Linked DNA regions of Notamacropus eugenii. The protein of the gene in region 1 interacts with the protein of each later gene in a biochemical or structural test. Links are inferred from orthologs where the notes say so. Each region holds a gene or a part of one and is shown on either strand. Other genes may lie near its edges.

The links. The genes of interacting proteins can lie anywhere in the genome.
Region 2: the proteins of RARA (region 1) and TRIM24 form a complex in vitro, tested with the Homo sapiens proteins (3 studies listed by BioGRID). The link is inferred for Notamacropus eugenii from reciprocal best matches to the Homo sapiens genes RARA and TRIM24.

What each region holds. Positions count from the first base shown.
Region 1 is NC_092873.1:355,853,361-355,857,104, reverse strand, and holds the start of RARA (retinoic acid receptor alpha), read right to left. Parts: upstream 2,544-3,744; 5' UTR 2,433-2,543; coding exon 2,255-2,432; intron 1-2,254. UniProt on the Homo sapiens protein: Receptor for retinoic acid. Retinoic acid receptors bind as heterodimers to their target response elements in response to their ligands, all-trans or 9-cis retinoic acid, and regulate gene expression in various biological processes.
Region 2 is NC_092874.1:110,703,644-110,707,387, forward strand, and holds the start of TRIM24 (transcription intermediary factor 1-alpha), read right to left. Parts: upstream 2,395-3,744; 5' UTR 2,258-2,394; coding exon 1,864-2,257; intron 1,163-1,863; exon of another isoform or gene 1-1,162. UniProt on the Homo sapiens protein: Transcriptional coactivator that interacts with numerous nuclear receptors and coactivators and modulates the transcription of target genes.

The DNA of each region.
Region 1 (3,744 bases):
CCTGGCAAGAACAGGAAGCCTTACAATTTCAGCTCCTAGAATGGGGGCAGTGCCAACTTAAGGAGGAATCAGTCCAGTCCCCCCTCTCAGCCCCACCTCCAAAGGCCTTAACCACTCAGGACAAACACCAGACATTCAGATAAAGCATATGGGCTGCAAGAGTAGGTGAGATGCAAAATAAAAGAGCTCTCTCCCCAATTGGGGTTGAGCTTTAAAGCTTCCATACAGAGCAAAGTGTACAGAGTGAAAACAAGACAGGAGACAATGAGATGGGAGAAGGGACTGAAGGGAGAAGGGAGACTTTGGGGCACGGGGGCGGATATCCAGAGTGGCATTCAGGAAACTTTCTGAGCAGGACCTGGGTTATCCCTCTGGGGACCAAGAAGTAGTCCCTCCCCCAAGCTGAAAACACCAATAGTAAAGTGGGAAGGGGGCACCAGAATGGCAGATACATTTGTCCATTTCAAATTGATTTAACAACAAGCATTTATTAAATGTCTACTATGTACAAGATACCTGAAAGTTCCCTGGCTGTGGGGGGAAGTCAGGAAGGAGAATGACACAGAGACAGAGGAGGAACTCTAGGGAAGGTCAGATGCTGTGGGCAACTGGCCAGAGCAAGTAGGGTGGCACCATTCCAGGGTCAACTTCAGGGACAATGAGACTGCCCTGACCCTAGGAAGGCGAGTACTGCCCTAATCCAGAGAAGGGAGCATTGACCCAGGGCAGGGAGCAGAGAGCAGTGTTGCCAGGTGCCCCACTGGTGCCAACAGGAGAAGCAGTGGGTGTCTGTGGCAGTGTTCATCCTGGGCAGGCCAGGGAAAAGGCATGTGGGATGGAGGGAGGAGGGAGAACAGGACATTTCCCAGGTCAACAGCTGCCCTGTCCATCCATCTCCCAGCCTCTGTTCCCTCTTCTCCCCGCCCGGCCAGGCCCCAGATCCCTCCCCCTCCTGACTTGGCACTGTGCCCAGCTCGGCCCTAGGGGCCAGAGTTACAGTAAGAGGCCTGGCAGGCCTCTGGTCTGAGCTATGCCAGCTGGCAGCCACTACTGCCACCTCCCACTACCTGGCTTCAGACAGGCCAGGGGTGGAAGAGACGCCCACCTAGCCCGTGCAAAACTCTCATGGGAAAGATAGAGAGGAAGGGGGAAATGGGGGAAAAAAATCAGAGACAGAGCAAAAGGGAAGAGGGAGGGGCCTATGTCTTTTCCTTGCAGCCCAGCTCCCACCCATGACCAAGGCAGAGCTTTCCTCCCTGCCCCCGCCCTCATGCTGTCCCCAGAGCTCCTTCCCTCCATTGCCTAGCTCACCTCAATTCTCACCAGGTTTATACCCACCACCTCCCTCCCTTCACGCTCCACTCAAATAGGGGAATTAGTAGCAAGGTATGTATGTAGGGGAAGCGCGCTGTGCTGGCCTTCCTCCTACACCCTTTAGGTACCCTCATAAAAAGACACCTGGTACAGGGGACCCTGAGGGTAAGGATGAGGGAGGAGGGCATGTGGCTGCCTCTCCAGGTCACAATACTGTTCCCGCCAAATGTCGAGAGGTTTGTTTATCTACCAGGGGCCTTTGTCTGCTGCCAACCAAGCTATTTATAAGATCCTCAGTGAGGTGGAAGGAGGGAAAGCCGGGCCGAGAACGCAACACAAATGGCCCTAACCTTTCTGCAGCCCTCCAGCCTAGCACATACTTTGGCAGAGTCCAGCAACCCAAATTATAATAGAGGTTCCTTTCCCATCCCTAGATGGGGCCCCTGCAAGCTTCGAAGGACATTCCCTGTAAAACAGGCAACAGTAATAAACAGTATTCATATAGTGTTTCGAAGTTTGCAGAACACTTTCCACATCTGATCTCACTGGAATCTCACAATAGCCCTGTGAGGTCAGTGCTATTATTCTTCCCATTTTACAGATAAGGAAACTGAGGCTGAGAGAGGTTTAAGTACTTTCCTAAGGTCACACAGCGAGTGTCTATGGCAGGATTTCAACTTGAGTTTTTTCTGATGCCAAATCCAGAGCTCTATCCAGTGTACCCCTTAGCTCCCCCAACAGCTACGTCCGTTATTAGCCACTCTTTCTTTGTCACTCCCTGACTGACACCCCATCCTTCCCAGTGTTTTTATATAACAAAACCACCACAAACCATCCCCTCACAGAGCTCTGATGATAAACCACCAGGTTCTCCTGTGATATCTGAGCCCTCAATCCCACCCATCCCCACCCCTCATTCCCACTCTGTGGCACAACTTACTGGCTGGTGACGGAGTGCTGTACCCACTGACAGGAAGCTGGTGCTGGATACTTGTCAGGGTGCCAGGTGGAGAAAGTCCGCCCAGCATGGGAGGGAAGAAGAAGGCATAGTGAGGCACTGGGTACCCATTAAGGTGCCCACTCCCAGGCGTTGGGCATGAGCTGCTATTGCTGGCCATGCCCTGATGACAGTCAAAGATACAGACAGAGAGTCCAGTTGGGAAGGTTTGAGGGGCTTCTCAATGCCCCTTCTCAGCTCATTGGGGCCTGGAGTTGGGAGGGGTTGTGGGTGATCAACCCACCCCCTCTTCCTGTCCTGCAGCTGAAGAGGGCAGTACCCCACAGGGTGATCTTGGCCTTCTGGAGCCACCGCCCAAACCAGGGGCAAGGTGGCAAAGGGAGGGGAGGGCGCTGCTCAGGTCGGCTGCTATGATAAGCTGGAATGAGGCTTGGAAAGCTGAGGTAGCCTCCTGAATGGCACCCACCACGGCTGGCTGTTAGGCAGAGTATCGAGCGAGGTATCCTCACCTAGATGAACTCTGATGACGCTGGTGCTGCTGGGGAAGCCATGTCTTCTGATGCTGAAAAGGAGAAGACAAGACAGGTGAGTAGGCACAGAGAACAGGGCACAGGGGTTTTCTCTACGGGGCTCCCCCCACCTGGGCAGCTGGAGGTTTTCCCGTGACACCAGGCTAAGCAGACAGATGGCACAGTGCCTGCCTGGCACAGACAACTTGGGAGTGGGGCCCAGACACTGCAGAGGAAGAGGTGAGGGTGAGAACATTCGCACAAAGAGCAGAACTTAAACCTTTAGGAGACACCTCTCACCCTAATGTGGCCAAAAGGCCTGTTGTGCCTTGAAGGCGGGGTCCCTGGAGATCAGCAGGGGACATGAGGGAAACACAGCTGGACCTAGAGATCTCCCCAAAGAAGGGTTACCTAAGGTCACAGATGTAGAGAAAGCGTGGGGATGGTGGAGGTAACCGAGGGAGGGGAAGGGGAGAGAAGCTGCTTCCCTAAAGCATGGTACTTCTCAGAATCGTGACGCAGCAACCCTAGGGGCCTCTTACACCACTTCCCCCACCCCAGCCCCAAAATCCAGGGACCTAACACCCTGCATGGGTGGGGATAGGGTGGGGATGAGGATGTTTAGCCTGGAGAAGAGGAAGATGCAGGTGGGCCACAGAGCCGTCTTCAAATATTTGAAGGCTGGTGTGTAGAAGGGGGGTCATGTTTGTTGTCCTTAGCCCCAGAGGCAAGAACCAGGAGCAATGGGTGGAAATTGCCAAGAAGCCAACACAGGCTTGATGAAAAAAAAACATGCTAACAATTAAGGATGCCCAGGAGAAGAATGGGTCACCTAGGAAAGGTAAGTATCTCCTCACTTGAAGTCCTCAAGCACTGACTGAAGGGAGCCAAGGGATTTACTGGTATATATTTTTACATGGGAATCAGGCTAAAGGGCTATCGAGGTCCCTTCCAATTGTAAAA
Region 2 (3,744 bases), on another chromosome or scaffold:
AATCATTGCTTCAATTCTTAGGAACTTTTTAATTCTAGGTTCAGGTCAGATAGATCATGGAAGGTTAATTAACTCCATCTGGTTAGGGATCTAAACAGTTTCATGAAAATGTTCTTTCTTTAAAAGCAGCTTCACTGAAGAATACACTATTTGGAAAAAAAAAAAGTTACTTCTTTTTCCCTCAAGATTTAATCATTTCAATTGCCCTTACACCCAGGATTAATCTTGAATAGGTAGGCTGATTCACTACAACTAAGTGGAAGTGTTAAAGCCACAGTTCACTTTATTCCAATAAAAAGCATTCTTCAGAACCCTTCTTACTTCAATTTGGCACTATAACCTATCTGGCAGCTAGGTGGCGTTCAAATCCTGCCTCAGACACTAGTTTTGTGACCCTGGCCAAGTCACCTAACCCCCTTTCCCCTCAGTTTCCTTATCTTTAAAGTGAGCAGGAGAAGGAAAAGGCAAACCACTCTAGTAACTGCCAAGGAAACCCCAAACGAGGTGAAGAGAGTTGGACACGACTTAACAACAAAAACGCAAAGTACAGTGGGGAGGGGGGGCACTAGCAAATGAGAATAATTAATAATGGTTAACATTTAAATGGAGCTAGGTCCTTTACAATTATTATCTCGGTCTCGTTTAATACTCACAACAGGAAACTGAGGCAGAGGTGGAAGCTACCCAGGGTTAACAAAACTATTCAGGTCGAATATGAATTCAGGTCTTCTGACTCCAGGCCCACTGCTCTAGCCACTGCCTTGAAACTACTAACTACTCTAAGTTAAATGGAGTTTCTCCTCTAAAAATGGGAGGAGTTAAAAATAAGTTATTTCCTTTTTTGAAAAGCAGTTAACATATTTTCCTAAATGTTGCTTTTATAATTTTAAAAGAAAATACAAAAACAGGGGGGAAAGCACAAAAACGCAAAAAGCTTTCTACAACTGTATCAAATTCAACATTTTGCTTTTAACTTTTAAAAATGTTTCAGATCTAATAACAGGTACCAAAAGCAACACCAGGTTACCTGTTAAGCTTCCCGCACTACACTGACCGAAACAAAACAAAACACCCAACCGCATCCCGGGAGAAACCGTCCATCTCCAGCACCTCCAGCTCTTCTTCACGTACACTTGAAAGAAAAAAACCCCTCTCCCACCGAACTCACTTTTCTCCCGCCTCTCCCACGGCCAAGCCCGTCCACGCCAGCCCCCTCACGGGAGGACAAATGAAACACTGTCACTTTGTCCCTTTGTCCCCGACGAAGGGGAGCAAGAGCACCGCGAGGAAACGAGCTCCCACACAGGACCCAAGCCCAAGGCTCCATCCTCCAAACCCAACGTCAGATCTGGCGCCGGCCGAAGGCTTCATCCATTGAAGAAGAATAAAGGAAGACGGACGAGGCACTTCCCTACTTTCCCGGGATCCCGGAGCCCCGGACAAAAGCTTCGGGCGAACACCGAGTGAGCAGTGACGCTAAGGGGTCGGCGTTCAGAAAAAAGTTGGCCGGAACAAGGCGCCGGGCCACTCGAGAGACTCGAGCAGCCCAGCCCGGGTGCCCCGGCAGGCGGCCTGCGGAGAAGCCGGCGGAGCGCGGGGAGCGCGCAGGGCCCTGGGCGCAGGGCACACGCCCGCACACACAGACCCTGCCGTCTCCCTCTCCCCCCTCCCCCGTGGCGACATGACAGCAGGGTCGCCACACACCCGCACGCACTCGCACGCACTCACCCGCCGTGTGTCTCGCTCGCGTCCCCCGCCTCCCCGCCCCTTTTCTCCCCTCCCCCAGCTAGCGGCGCGGCTCCGCCGAGCTCGGCTCGCCCCCTCCCGGGCCTCGCGCGCGCGGCGGGAAAGGGGCTCGCTCACCTTGGGTGCTGTACGGTGGGGTGGCGGAGATCGGGGAGCCGGGGGGAGCGGCGGCGGCGGCGGCGGGAGGAGGGGGGGTCTCGGCGGCCCCCAGGAGCGGGGCGGGCAGCATGAGGTAGCGCTGGGGGGCGGGCAGGCAGCGCTGGCAGAAGGAGTGCAGGCAGGGCAGCAGCTTGGGCGCCCGGCTCTGGATGTTCTGGTGACAGACGGCGCAAGTGTCCAACAGGTTGAGGCGGGCCGCCTCCCCGCCGCGCTCCGAGTCCGGGCCCTGCCGGCTCTCGGCCTCATTCTCCCCGCTCGGGGCCGCGGCCGCCGGGGCCCCCGACGCTGCCGCAGCCGCCGCTGCCGCGACCGCCGCCGCTGCCACGGCCGCCTTCTCCACAGCCACCTCCATTGTCCTGTCCCCGCCGCTGCCGCTGCCGCTGCCGCCGCCGAGGGAGAAGGGGGAGCGCGGTCTCCGCCCGCCGCCGCCGCCGCCGCCTCCTCCTCCCAACCACCGCCCCCGTCCTCCTCCTCCTCCGGACTAGGGGGCGGGGAGGATCGGGAGGGAGGCGCAGAGGAAGCCGCCTCCCCGGTGTCGCGGCCGGAAGGAGGGAGAGGAGTCCGCGGGCACCGCTCCTCGCCGGCGGCGGGAAGCCTCGCCCCGGGCCGACGCGATCCCGGAGCCCTCCCCGGCTTCGACTTCTCCCGGGCACTCTCCCTCTTCGGCTCCGCTCCCGGACCGGCCGCTCACCACCACCTCCCGCCTCCCCCGCCCTCCGAAGGCGGCCTCCTCCCCGACTCCGCCCTCTCCTCGCAACTAGGACGACCGCAAAAAAAGCCCCGCAGCCCAATGACCGCCGCCTCTCGCGAGGGGGCGGAGCCTGCCCGGGACTACCCAGGCTCGCCCCGGGAGAGGGGACCGCGAGAGGGAGCGGGGAGGAGGGAGGGGGACGGGGGCAAGCGCAGGCCCCGCCTCCTCTCCGCGGAACTCCGGCGGCGGTTGGGCTGTTGGTGGCGGTTTCTGCACCGCGGAGGAGACGGAGGGTTCTGTTTGTTGTATTGGCCCGGCCTGAGTGACGCCCTCCCTCCTCCAGCCCGCGTCCAACCACCTCGCACCTAACTCCGTACCCTCCCCCAGCTCCCCCGCCCCCCGCGGCGCTCCTCCCTGCCCGGAGCGTCCCCCGCCCCCCGCCTTCCCTGCTGGGAGCTGTGATTAATAAGTAACTGCCCGAGAGAACTCTCCTCCGGCCCTCGGCGCGGTAGAGTGGGGGGCGCGACCTCCTGGCGCTCTGTGTTCAGATGAACAGCCGAGGGACCTTCCTGCGGCACGGACCCCCTGGCAATCCGGGGAAGCCTGTGGACCGACACCTTTCCAGGATCTTGTATTAGATGCATAAAATAAAATGCATAGGATTGCCAAAGAAACCCACTCTGCATATTGACATTCAGATTGTACATGTGTACGAAGTGCATGGAAGCCAGGTTGAGAACCTTTGCTTTAAGGGAAATAAAGGTCTGGACGGGGTGCGGGAGTGAAAGGATCAGAGGAGATGAAGAGAAACCTTCCTAGGGAAAAACAGAGGTGAGGGGGTGTTTTTTCAAGGCAGGAGGTCCACGGATTTTCACAATCTGCTTTTTTTTTTTTTTAACCAGAATAATGAATGGAAAAGGTGGGGAGAATTGTGGGTGAGCTAGAGTGAGGAGATGAATGGATTGAGTCAATCCTCTTTTATGCTGATTGTACGCTGCAAGGGATTCACTTAAGAATGCCTGGATTCCCAGCATGTGTTGAAACAGTTGATCAAGAAAAAATTTTGAGCTTCTTTTAAAAAGTTTTTAATCCTGAAGCGAGATCATAGGATTGAATTTTAGGCATAATAGAGTAGAAAAAGCCAGAAG